Canis lupus familiaris: one gene and its partners. The protein of the gene in region 2 purifies or fractionates together with the protein of the main gene of each other region. This does not show direct contact. Links are inferred from orthologs where the notes say so. Each region holds a gene or a part of one and is shown on either strand. Other genes may lie near its edges. The genes, in order: HIC1, MTA1 and BCL11A.

Region 1 (4,128 bases), on a different chromosome or scaffold from region 2:
GAAGGGCGGGGGTCTCCTTTGGTCAAAGCTGATATCAAAAATATAAATCTCCCTTCCCCCATCCCACCCCCGTCCCGGGGTTTCACCCCCACCCCCACCCCCGGGCTAAGGCACAAAGCAGTGAGGCCAGGTGGGGCCGCCGCCACTGCGGCGATGCTGCCGCTGCTACTACAGTTGTCCGGGCGCGGGGTGCCTGCTCGCGCTGCCACCGCCGTTCCCCGGGGACGCGGGCCGGGGCCACGCGGCGGCGACGAGGCGGGCCGGCAGGAGGCGCTCTAGGTGGGGGAAAAACGGTCGATGGTCCGGCCGTCGGGTCCCGCGGCCAGGTGCGCTCCCTGGCTCAGCACCTCGGCCGCCTTGTCCGGGCTGAGGCCCAGCTCCGCGGTGAACTTGGCCAGCGGGTAGAGGCTCTCGAGCGCCACCTTGGGGTCGTGCAGGAAGTGCGTGGTCTGCGCCAGCAGCTCGGCCGCGGCTGCCTTGTCCTGCTGCTTCAGGCTCAGCTGTTCTGCCGTGAGTCGGGCCACAGCAAAGACGCCCTCGGGGAAGTCGAGCTTGCCCTTGCCGTCGGGGCCGGGGACGCCGGGTAGCCCCCCCAACCCCGCCAGAGCCCCAGCTGCGCCTGCCGCGCCACCCACGGCGTGCATCTTCATGTGGCTGATGAGGTTGCGTTGCTGCGCGAACTTGCCGCCGCACACCTGGCACTCGTAGGGCTTCTCGCCCGAGTGTATGCGCATGTGCTCGGTGAGGCGGTACTGGCGCGTGAAGCGCATGCCGCACGCGTCGCACGCGAAGGGCTTGAGACCCAGGTGGCTGCGCATGTGGCGCGTCATGGTTCCGCGCTGCGTGAACTTCTTCCCGCAGATGGTGCACGGATAGGGCCGGGTCAACCAGTGCGTCTTCTCGTGCTGCCGCAGCGTGGCCGGGTCCTTGTAGCTCTTGTCGCACGACGCGCAGCGGTACGGCCGCAGCAGCTCGCCCAGGCCGCCCGGAGCCCCAGCGACCTTGTCCCCACTGCCTCCAAAAGGGGGCCCCAAGCCGGCGGCCCCCGCGGCTACCTCGGCCGCCTCGGCCCTGCCATACAGCGCCTCCTCCTCCTCCACGTGAGCTTCCACGTGTGCATTCAGCTGCTCCGAGCTGGGGAAGCCCTTGCCGCACGGGATGCACACGTACAGGTTGTCGCCGAAGCTCTCGGGCTCGCCGTAAGCCAGGTGCGGGCACGGGTAGCCCTCGAGGTGGCCGCCTGGAGGGCTGGGGTCCTCGCTGCTGCCTGTCTCCTCGCTGCTGCTCTTGTAGTCGTCGCCGTCGCCGCCCGCGCCTGGCCCGTCCAGGCTGCCCTGGTAGCGCGGCGGCGCCAGGCCCAGCGGGGGTACCCCGGGCGAGGCGGCTGGGTCCCCGCCGCGCTCCTCACAGCGCTCGCTGGGGGAGCCGCGCTCCCGGCCCAGCTCGTCGCCGTAACTGCCCAGGCCTGGCTCGTGCTTCATCCAGCGGTAGAGGAGGCTGGGCCCGTCGGGGCGGCCCGGGGGCTCGGGTCCCGGGCTGCCGCCGCCGCCACGGAACGGGTCCGGCGGCGGTACGGCCTCCTCCAGCTTCTGGAAGGGCAGCGGCGGCAGCGGCGGCAGGGCGAGCTGTGGCTCCTTGTAGGCAGCGGGGCCGGCACTGGGAGGGCTGTCTGGGCGGGAGGGCAGGTCGCGCTCGCCCGGCGGCCGCTCAGGAGGCGCGGAGCCCGGCGGGCTCTTCTTGGACAGGTCCAGGCCGCAGAGCGGGGAGCAGCGGCGCTCCGGGGCGCAGAGTGCGGAGGCCGGGCCGGGGCCCGAGGCGTACAGCTCCGCGCAGTGGGTGTTCACAGCGGCCTCGGGGCCCGAAGACGGCTCGCCCGAGGGCGGCGGCGGAGGCCCAGCCGGGGACGAGTAGCAAGCCTGGATGACGGGCGTGGCGGCCCGAAGGCCCCGGCCCGGCCTCCCGTAGGGTGCGTAGCCGCCGCCGCCGCCGCCGCCGCCCCGCAGGTGGCAGTACTTGCCGTGGCGCTTGAGGCGCTTCTTACACAGCGCCACGAGGTCGGGGATCTGCAGGTAGCTGGCGGCGGCCAGCACGGCGCCCAGGCTCGGCTCAGCCCCCGGGGCCACGGCCGCCGCCGCCGCCGCCTCTGCGCCATCAGCCAGGCGGCCGGTGTAGATGAAGTCCAGCACCAGGCGGAACACCGCCGGGCTCACCATGTCATGGTCCAGGTTGAGCAGGTTGTCATGCACCACCAAGGACTTGAGGTAGGCGCTGCTGGCCGCCAGCACGTTCTTGTGCGCGCGGAAGAGGGCGTTCTGCACCACGATGATCACGTCGCACAAGAACCCCTTGGTGCGCTGGTTGTTGAGCTGCAGCAGCAGCTGCCTCGAGTGGCCCGGCGCCTCCATCGTGTCCAGCATCGTCTGCCCAGCACACTCTCCTGCAGGGACACACCGCAGCCGGGTCAGAGCCTCACCCGAGCCCTCGAGCCCTCGCTGCCAGGATCCAACCCGGCGCTTCTCCCCCCAACTTCCCCTTCCCCTCAGCTCGGCTGGGGCATCGCGCGCGGCGGCCTAGGCGCTGGCAGAGGGGTCGGCGGCCTCCTGGTGTGGAAGCCTGGGCCGGTGGCCTGCACCAGAAGGCATAGGCGAGTGGCTGGTGGAGAGGAGGCCAGGCTGGACCGCTCGCCCAGGCCCGGCTGGCACCGGGCACACAGGCTGGGGTCTGGGGACTTCCGAAGGAGAACACTGTTTGGGGGAAGTGACCCCTTCGGAGACAGTTACCGGATTTGAGGAAAATGTCCGCTTCAGGAAAAGTCATTCAGGGCTGAGAAGTCTGCCCAATTGGGATACAAGGGAGCCGAGTAAAAAGCGCCTCCCGCCTCGGGAGAAGTTGCCCCAGCTGGGGGAAGTGATCCCGTGGAGGGGTGCGCGGTGCCCGCCGTGGCGCCGCCCTGCCCGGGGGCTGTCAGGCCTTCAGTTGGGGCCCGGGCGCGGCCGCGGCGCGGGGAGCGGAGGCAGAGGCTGCGGTGGCGGCAGAACACGAAGGCCGGCCCCGGCGCGGGGAGGGCGTTATATCGGGGCAGGAGGCTGAGGCAGGAAGCAGGTGGGGGGGAGGGGGGAGCCACGCAGCTCCCAGGGGAGGGAGGGGGCAGCGCCCCGGGCGGGCACGGCGCACAGCCGGCTGCGGCCCTGACCCTGGCCTGCGCCCCACCCGCGTCCTGGCCCCGGTCTCGGCCTCAGCTCTGCATTCGCGGGCCCCGGCGCCTCCCTCCCCAGCTCCCTTCGGCCCCTTCTCCACGGGAACTCCGCCGCCCCAAACTTGGGGAAAAGTTTCCCAACTTCAGACAGGCCGGGAGAAGCGGGCCAGCCCCAGTCCCTCGACTCCCAGCTTTTCCTCTCGGCTCCCAATTTCGGCAGCCAGGCGGCCCTGGGGCCTGAGCGGAGCTCGGCGCTCCCCTGCCCGCTCGTTCGCCGGCCCACCCTGCTCCCCTCCTGGCCCGCAGGGCCTCGCGGCCCGTTACCTGCGGCCGCAACCCGACCCGGCTTCCCTGCCCGTGGCGGTGGCAGCTCCCAGCCGGCGCCCCACCCGCCCCGCTGCCAGGCGCCGAGCTGTGCCAGGGCAGCGCCCCTGCCAGCCCCGCCCGCCAGCTCCCCTTCCCTTCCCTTCGCCTCTCCGGCCCATGTGCGGGCAGAGTCGGGCCCGGGCCGCTGACCCCGGCCGTGAACTCGGCGCGGAGCAGCGGCCCGGCGGTCCCGAGTCCTCTAGGGGCGACACCCGGAGTCCTGGACGCCAGCCGCGTTGGGGCGCCCAGGCCGAAGGATGCGCCCGAGGCGGCCAGCGCGTAAGGACCGGGCCGTCCGGATCCCCTGTCCCTTCTGGTCCCGAGGTTGAGGACCCACCTGGGGGGCATGTCGGAAGCCCCGGGCCCGGCTGCCGGCGGATCCAGGGGGGACGTGGCTGTGCTGCCCTCCGCCCGCCGGGGCCCCGGTCGGTCTGTCCTGCTGGTCCGTCCTCCCCGCGTCCTGGTCGCGTCTCAGCCCCGCCGCGCTTTCCGCACACTCTTATCTGGAGCGGCCCGGGCCGGCACGCGCTGCTGCAGCTATGGCGCCACCTCGCGGCCGTGCGGGG
Region 2 (4,184 bases):
TTATTTTCTTGCTTGCAGTTGAAAGGGTTTACTTTTCTTTTTCTTTCTTTCTTTTTTTTTTTTTTTTTTTGAATTTTATTTACTTTAAAGAGAGAGAGAGGGATCCCTGGGTGGCGCAGCGGTTTGGCGCCTGCCTTTGGCCCAGGGCGCGATCCTGGAGACCCGGGATCGAGTCCCACGTCGGGCTCCCGGTGCATGGAGCCTGCTTCTCCCTCTGCCTGTGTCTCTGCCTCTCTCTCTCTCTGTGACTATCATAAATAAATAAAAAAAAAATTAAAAAGAAATAAAAATAAAGAGAGAGAGAACACAGGGAGAGGGAAAGGGAGAGAGAAGCAGAAGCAGGCTCCAGGCTGAGCGTGGACCCCGACGTGGGGCTTGACCCCGGGGCCCCAGGATCGTGACCTGAGCCAAAGGCAGACTCTCAGCCCACCACGGTGCCCCTGAGCCTGATTTTTTTTTTTTTTAAGATTTTATTTAATTTATTCATGAGAGACACAGAGAGAGGCAGAGACCCAGGCAGAGGGAGAAGCAGGCTCCACGCAGGGAGCCCGACGTGGGACTCGATTCCAGGTCCCCGGGATCACGCCCTGGGCTGAAGGTGGAGCTAAGCCGCTGAGCCCCCCGGGCTGCCCGAGCCTGATTTCTTTAGGGCACAGGGTTGCCTGTTTGTCTGCAGGGAGCTCGGGGGTCTGCGTCTGCCCAGCGCGGGCCCCGTGTCACCTGAGCCGTCAGGCAGCGGCGCCGGGAGCCCCCTCCTACCCAGCTCTCGCTCACTCACCCTCCGGGTCTTTCCTTTGTCACCCTGGCCTGAGGTTGATCCCCTTACTGGCTGTTTACACGAGTTCATTTTTCCTCATTATGCTGGTTTTTGCTCATCATCTACCATCTTTTTGCTTTGCGTGTTTTCCCATCTACCAAAGCTTAACCCACCCGTCTCAGGCGTGCAGGTCTGAATTGTGGGGAGCACATGCAGGGGTGCAACTGGCGGCTGGGACGCAGCCCCGTGCCCCCCAGCCCCCTGCCTGAGCAGGGATCCTCAGAGCCGCATGCAGGGCCGGTGGGGCTCCTCCTGGGTCGTGTCCAGTGTAGACTGCATGTGAATAACAGCTTTGGTTTATTTACTTATTTTTTTTTAAAATAGATTTTTTACTTATTTATTCATGAGAGACACAGAGAGGGACAGACACAGAGGGAGAAGCAGGCTCCACGCAGGGAGCCCGATGCAGGACTCGATCCCGGGGCTCCAGGACCACGCCCGGGGCCAAAGGCAGCGCTAAACCGCTGAGCCACCCAGGGATCCCCGACAGCTTTGATTTAATTGGTTTTTTGGTTTCTTTGGATGAAAGCTTTAAGACCAATAGGGCTTTATATTAAAACTGCTCTTTTGAGCGACAATTCACGTGTGATAAAATTCACCCGCTCACGAGGCGTACGGTGTGGCCGCGGTCTGTGTTCAGAGTGTTTCCACTGCCGTCAAGCCGACCTCGAGCCCGTCGATGGCCCCCTCCCGTAGAGCTCTCTTCCCCCCCAGCCCGCGAGCGTGGCCCTCTGAGCCCGGCAGCCCTGTTCCCTCTGGGCTGTTAGTGCTGTTGCTCTTTCGTTCCGTGGAGCTCTGTGGGTGCCCATGGCCGCGTCCCATCCGGCTGTGGCCTCGGGCAGCACAGGTGAGCCCCCCCCAGCAGCACAGGTGCGCTCCCTCCTACAGTATAGGTGAGGACCCCCCAGCATAGTGAGCCTCTCCTGCAGCACGGGTGAGCCTCCCGCAGCAGCATAGGTGAGCGCCCCCATCTCCCTGCAGCATAGGTGAGCTCTCCTCTGCAGCACAGGTGAGCGCCCCCCCCCAAGCACAGGTGAGCCCCCTCAGGTGCCTGCAGCAGGTACACAGCAGCAGCAGGTGCCAGATGCTTGCTGGGGCCTCTCCACACGGTGGAGCGGTAGGACCTCTTGAGAGGACGGAGCTGGCCTGGGTCCTGGGGCAAGATCTGTGCTCCGAGTGGCCCTTTGGCTGTGTCCCGGCTGACACGGGCCTCTTGCAGGCCTTCCCTGGGGCACGGGGGACAGCGCGGGGCACCCCTGCTGGGGACTGCAGCCTGGCCTCGTCCTGGCACCGAGTCACCCGCAGCTGCCCCGAGCTACCTGCTATATCACGGCGGCGGCCAGGCTGGCAGCTGGGTGGCCTCCCGGCTGGCCTGGGCTCCGTGGGAGCCGGCCAGCCGCCCCCGTGGGCCTCTTGGGAAATCCCGGGTGCCTGCCAGCCTCCTGGGGACCGATCCCAGGCTGCTCTGGAGCCGGAGGCGAGCTGGTGCCCACATGGTGTGCTGGGGACCTGGCGGGCGGTGGCGGGACCTCGTTCCTCTGGCACCTGACCCCGTCCGCACCCCCGAGAGCCCTGCCTCTGCCCAGGGAGCCCCGGCCTCCTCCGTTCCCTGCCCGGGGCGCGTGGGGTGGGGGGGCAGGTGCAGGCGCCCGGCAGCCCCTCGGAAGCTGTCCTGGGGGAAGCTGCAGTCCGGCTCCCACAGCGTCTGCGCGGGGCAGGGGGCGGGGCGTGTGGACCCTCTGCCCGGGACAGCCCCCTCCGTCCTCTAGGACCCGTGCCCGGCACCCACCAACATGTCTGGGTACCTGTCTGTGCACTAAGGTGGCAGGGGCACCGTGTCCTTCGTTCCCTCCTGTTCCCTGGCCCCTAGAACTGGGCGCGGGTGTGAGGGGGGTCGGGGCTCCCCTGGTCCCCGGGCTCAGTGCTGCGGGGTGACGCACTCTGTTCCTGTTTGCAGACTACGTCTATTTTGAGAACTCCTCCAGCAACCCGTACCTGATTCGCAGGATCGAGGAGCTCAACAAGGTACGTGCATGGGGGGGGGCGCGTGGTGGGGGGGGGCCGCCCGGGGCTTCAGGGCCGGCCCCAGACCCTTCGGTGGCTTTGTTCCCGTGCCACACGCCTACACCTGGGTCCTTCTCCTTGGAGAGCTCTCCGTGGGGTCCCTGTGGCGGGTGTGCTCTGTGGGACAGGGGCGCCCTGTGGGGTCCCCCTGGCCGGGGTCTCCCCGCCCACCTGCTGCCTCTGCCTCTTCCCGGCTCACTCAGGCCCCTGCCGCCCCGCTCTGGGCCCTCGCAGCCGCCCCCCCTCCCGCCAGCCTCCCGCTCTGAGGCGCCCCCGGCAGCACTGGGGAGAGGCAGGAGTGTCCCTGCGGCCGTGGAGTCCCTGGCCCCGGAGCACCTGTTGTCCCCGACTGGCTGTGCTCCGTGAGGCCAGTCCTCAAGGGCTGCTCTCCTGGACCCCGAGCACGGCAGCGTGGCTGGGCATCCTTGGGACCGGCGGGCTGGGGGCGGAGGTCGGGGTGCTGGTGCTCCACGGAGCAGACTGGTGGCAGCCGAGCCCCGACCCCTGTGCCCCCGTTCCCGAGACTCCTGCGCAGCATCTGCCCGGGGGAGGGGGTGCCCCCAGGCCTCCGCTGCACACAGCGTGTGGGGCTGGTCCTTGCAGCCTGGCAGCTCCTGGGAGGCTGGGCCAGGTCTGGACGCGGCAGGGCGAGGGCAGTGACCAGGACGCTGTGGGGCCACCTCCCGCGGGTGCTTGCTGGGGGAAGCTGCCCACGGCCCGCCCGGGCAGCAGGGCCAGCAGGGCACGGGGTGGGCATCGGCTCGGGAACACATGGGGTCGGGCCCGCGACTCCAGTGAGCGGTGGGGAGCGTGGCGGGGGAGCCGGGGGCCCACTGCTGGGCTGGCCGCGGGCAGTGGGTCTCGGGTGGGGCCAGCACAGCCCCTGCCCCTCGCTTTGGCTGTGACGTGGAGAGGGCAGGTGGCACCACCTGTGGCAGCCTGCAGGTGACGGGTCTGCACGGCAGTGGCCACAGCCCGCCATTGGAGCGCTCGGGGTGGGGTCGATGGGCGTCTGCGTGTGAGCCTGCAGCCCCCTTCAGTACTGGGGTGGGGCGGGAGGGACCCTCTGGCCCCCGCAGCCCGCCTCCCCTGCTGCCCGGGGACCCGGGGCAGTCCCGGCTGGGGCCGCTGGGAGCTCGTTTTGTGGGCCCTTCCCTGCTGGGGCCACCCTGCCCGGAGCCCCCAGGCCCCCAGGGCCCCTTGGGCACAGGAGAAACGGCCCCGAGGGTCAAGTCCCCGGAAGTCGGGGCTCGTCTGGGCGCAGCTCTGGCGCAGGGCGGGGGCGGCAGCTGGCTGCGGCCCC
Region 3 (4,184 bases), on a different chromosome or scaffold from region 2:
GCCTGCGCTCGTCCTTTGCGCCCCCAGTGCATCCTTCCGAAGAAGGGCCCGGCTTTCCCGAGTCCTGCGAACACTGCCCTTCCTTCCCGCCGGTACCTGGCCGGGCTGTAACTTCACACCGCCGCGCGCCGCGTCTGCTCCGCATCCGGCGCGGCCGGGGGAGTGGGGGGCGGGGGAGAGCGACGAGGGAGGGATGCGCGGGGGTGGGGAGAGGGAGGGCCCCGCAACGTGCCGGGGCGGGGGAGCTTCCGAAGTGTGTGACAAGTTCCAGGGCCTAGTGAAAAATCCAACTCCCTACGCGCAACAGCACCCCCCCCCCCGTCAACCCTTTAATAAATACAAAAACTGGGTATAGGTGGTGTTTTTAAATTGCATCGAAAATTAAAACAAGGGGCACGAATGAGGAGGGGAAGGGATGTGGGCCCTCTCAAGCCTTTCTCTGCCCCGCTGCCAAACTTTCCGAAGTGCCCACCGCCCGCCTTCCCAGACGCACTGTTAGCCAGGACGCAGTAACCCGTCCACCAACCCCATAAAGACTCAGAAGGACCGCCGCCCCCCCTCCCAGCTCTGACCGAGACAGGCCCCGGTTAGAGGGCAGGAACTCAGAGTGGGGTGCACGGAGTCCGGGGATCCAGCACTCCCAAAACACACACTTGCACATACTACTGTGCCCACCTCCCCAAATCCCCCCCCCCAAAACCGGCTCACCGCCCCCCCCACACACACCTCCCTGCACACACACACCTGGCCTGGCAGCGATCGGGAGGCGGGGGGGGGGGGGTGCTGGTTGGCCAGACCTGGTGGGAGGGGGGCAGAGAAAGCACGTGGTGACCTCCCCGCGGTCCGGAGCTGAGGACAAGAACCTCGGGGGGCGGGGGAGGGGGCTGCAGACGCGCTTTTTCAGCTGCTTTGAAAAATAAAAATGCTTCGCAAAGCCGAGTTTCTCCCCCGCCGAGTTCCCGGTGCGGTGGGCTGGGAGGAGGTCTGGGCATTGTGCTGGGGGCGAGCGCGGACCGTGGACCCGGCTGGCGCGGAGTCGCGGCACGGCCTGCCGCTGTGCGGGCGGGCGGACGGCTGGCGCGGGGTGGGCGATCCCGAGCAGGGCGGGGGCGCGGCGAGGCCCGGCGAGGCCCGGGCGAGGCCCGGCCACCGCCGCCGCCCGCTCCCGGGCTGCCGCGCCGCGCTCGGTCCTCTGTCTGTTTGTTGGCAGGAGGCTCCCGCACACGCGGTGCTTGTAAACATTCAGACACGAGATTTTTCCCAATCAAAATCCACTTCCACTTTTTTTGAAAATCTTCCAAAAAATAGTAAGAGGAGGGAGTTCCTCGCTCCCTCTCCACGCCGCCGGCGCTCTAAGTTTGCAACTAAAGGGGTTTTGGGGAAGGGGGTAATTGTATTTTTCCCCCTCTAATAGAGATGGAGATTTTTGCAGGGGGGGGTGGGGTGGGGTGGGGTGGGGGAGTCCAAGAGGAGAGCGTTGCAGAAAACGGCCGGCCGAGCGTTTGGGGCTTCTGTTGGGGGGCAAGAAATTGTACGTCCTCTTGCCTCGTTTTATTTTTGGTTTTTATTTTTATTTTATTTTTCACATCTCTTCGCCGCCGCGGAGGTTCGGCCGGGAGGGGCGGGCGGCGGGGACCCAGGCGGCGGCGGCCCGAGCGCCCTCCCTCCGTCTCCCGCTCGCCCGGGGCCCTTGCTCCTGCCCTGCGGCGGCGGCGGCGCGGAAGGGCAGGCGCGAGGAGCCGGCACAAAAGGCAGCGGGACAAACACCCACCTCGGGCCGGAACAAAAGGCGGCAGCGGCGGCCGAGCCTCCCGTGCTTCCCGGTCTCCAGGCTCCCCCGGCCGCCGCGGCCCCTCTCCACACTCGGCAGGCTCCCGAGCGCCGGGGGGCCCCCTCCCACAATCCCACTTTCTCACTATTGTGGAGATGACTACTTTCCTCCTGGTGCACACTTGACCGTGAGCGCGCTGCTGTCCGAGGGCCAGTCTCACCTCTTTTCTCCCAGGGAATTGTTTTTTTGGCTTGGGCTCCCTCCTCCCGCCCCGTTTTCCTTCCTTCGGTGAGTGGAAGCAACCCCCTTTCCCCCCCCCCCTCACCCCTCCAGCTCCCTCCTCTAGGTTTGCCCGAGAGTTGTTCGCATCCAAAGCATTGTTCATTATTTTGCAAAATTGGAGGGGAAATCATTGCATTCCTTTTCGAAAAGCGAAATAAAGCGGCGGAGAGCATGAAAGAGGAGGAGTCACATTTTTGTAAATTAAATAAAAATTAAAAGGTGCGTGCTATCCCAAAAGTGTATCTACGGCTGCGGTTCGGGATAGGATGAGGTTTGGTTTTTGTTTGTTTGGGGTTTTGTTTGTTTGGTTTTTTTTTTTTTTTTTCCTCCCTTTAAGCTCTTTTATCCCGACTCTCGGAGGTTCGTCTCGTGAAAAAATTAAAAAATGCATGCACACACCCCTCTCTCCCCCTCGCTCTTACTTCTCGTCCTGCGCGCTCTCGTGATTATTAATAATTATTATTACTATTATTGGGTTACTTACGCGAGAATTCCCGTTTGCTTAAGTGCTGGGGTTTGCCTTGCTTGCGGCGAGACATGGTGGGCTGCGGGGCGGGCGGCGGCGGCGGCGGCGGCGGCGGCGGGCGGACGACGGCTCGGTTCACATCGGGAGAGCCGGGTTAGAAAGAAGGAGACTCCAGAGAAAATATCTTCATCAGTGCCTTTTGACATCCAAAATAAATTAGAAATAATACAAAGATGGCGCAGGGAAGATGAATTGTGGGAGAGCCGTCATGGCTTTTTTTTTTTTTTTAAGCAAAAAAAAAAAAAAAAGAGAGAGAGAGAGAGAGAGAGGAGAGAGATAGAGGGAGAGAGAGAGAGAGAGAGAGAGAGAGAGATGAAAAAAATGGCAAAAGCCCCCCTGAGCTGCAAGTTCAAGTGCGGACGTGACGTCCCTGCGAACTTGAACGTCAGGAGTCTGGATGGACAGAGACACACAAAACATGGGCAGGGCGAGCAGGAGAGAAGGGGAGGAGGGAAGGGGAAGCTCACACCAATGGACACACATCAGGGGCTGGACATGAAAAAGAGACCAGGACAAGCCAATGGCCAGTGCGGGGCGGGGGAGGTGCGGGGCGGGGGGCTCCGCAGACGCCAGACGCGGCCCCCGGGGGAGGGGCGGGGGGGGGAGGGGAGGGGGCGCCGGGGCCGCGGGCTCACCAGTGGCCGCAGCCAGCGCCGTGGCGGCAGCGTGGCCGGGAGAGAAGAAAGGGGCGGCGGGGGTGGGGGGGGGGGCAAGACGTGCTCTCTGCTCACCCCCCCCCAACCCGGACACGGATCCTAAAATGAAAGATTACTTAAAAAAAAAAAAAAAAAAAAAAAAAGGCAAGAGTGTACGGCGAGGCTGCAGCCCGGGTCCCGGGGAGCGCGGGCGGAGGGAAGGCAGGTAGAGTTACTCCCGGACACCCTCCTCCGGGCGCACACCCACCTCCCCTCCCCGCCGCGCTCGCTCCCCGCGTGCGGACGCCCGGGGCCGCGGTGGGAGCCCCGAGCCCGGGGCTGCGCTCGGGAAACTTTGCCTGCGGAGAGGCTGGCAAAGAAAAATCACCCGAAGTTGAGAGCTGAGCCTCCAAGTTGCAGCTCCGCAGCGGGCGCGGGGAGGCGGGAGGACGCGCGCGGCAAAACCCAGTGCAGCCCAAGTTTAGAGGGTTGCGGGTCCGGAAAGGCAGCCCCGGGGCCTCCGGGTGCCCGGCCAGGCTGGGTGCAAGGGCGAGGGAGACGGCGCAGGCCAGGGCGGGAGGGCACCCCCAAGGCCGGGCCCGGCGGCGGAGGGGGGAGGCCGGGGGGCGGCGGGGGGGCGCCGGGCAGCTGGGATCTGGGCGCCCTGACAAGCGATTGGGTCCGAATGGAACTGGAAGCACGCACCCGAGGCTCCCAAGGGTCGCGGCGAGGGAGGCCAAGGAATAAAGACCGAGGAGCCCGCCGCGGGGCCCGTTGCAGCCCCCGGAGGGGAGCGCCGGGGCCCGGGGCGGGGAAGGCGCGGAGGCCGCGGGCCGGAGGACAAAGCACGCGCAGCCCCGGGAGGGAGTTGCCGTCCCTGGGAACGTGCTCCCGGCGCCGCGGGAGGTCCTCCGGCCGGGTCCCCGGGACGGACACACCCCCTCCCGCCCGGAGCCACTGCTGGAGCACC

What was found.
Region 1: the proteins of MTA1 (region 2) and HIC1 purify together in Homo sapiens (affinity purification with western blotting; 3 studies listed by BioGRID). This does not show direct contact. The link is inferred for Canis lupus familiaris from reciprocal best matches to the Homo sapiens genes MTA1 and HIC1.
Region 3: the proteins of MTA1 (region 2) and BCL11A purify together in Homo sapiens (affinity purification with mass spectrometry; 4 studies listed by BioGRID and IntAct, counting the BioPlex papers as one, with this or other methods). This does not show direct contact. The link is inferred for Canis lupus familiaris from reciprocal best matches to the Homo sapiens genes MTA1 and BCL11A.

What each region holds. Positions count from the first base shown.
Region 1 is NC_049230.1:46,105,434-46,109,561, reverse strand, and holds the start of HIC1 (hypermethylated in cancer 1 protein), read right to left. Parts: upstream 3,029-4,128; 5' UTR 2,818-3,028; coding exon 2,781-2,817; intron 2,438-2,780; coding exon 276-2,437; 3' UTR 1-275. UniProt on the Homo sapiens protein: Transcriptional repressor. Recognizes and binds to the consensus sequence '5-[CG]NG[CG]GGGCA[CA]CC-3'. May act as a tumor suppressor. Involved in development of head, face, limbs and ventral body wall.
Region 2 is NC_049229.1:73,159,488-73,163,671, forward strand, and holds the start of MTA1 (metastasis-associated protein MTA1), read left to right. Parts: upstream 1-1,758; 5' UTR 1,759-1,901; coding exon 1,902-2,313; intron 2,314-2,774; coding exon 2,775-2,842; intron 2,843-4,184. UniProt on the Homo sapiens protein: Transcriptional coregulator which can act as both a transcriptional corepressor and coactivator. Acts as a component of the histone deacetylase NuRD complex which participates in the remodeling of chromatin.
Region 3 is NC_049231.1:61,971,751-61,975,934, forward strand, and holds the start of BCL11A (B-cell lymphoma/leukemia 11A), read right to left. Parts: upstream 2,754-4,184; 5' UTR 2,593-2,753; coding exon 2,538-2,592; intron 1-2,537. UniProt on the Homo sapiens protein: Transcription factor. Associated with the BAF SWI/SNF chromatin remodeling complex. Binds to the 5'-TGACCA-3' sequence motif in regulatory regions of target genes, including a distal promoter of the HBG1 hemoglobin subunit gamma-1 gene.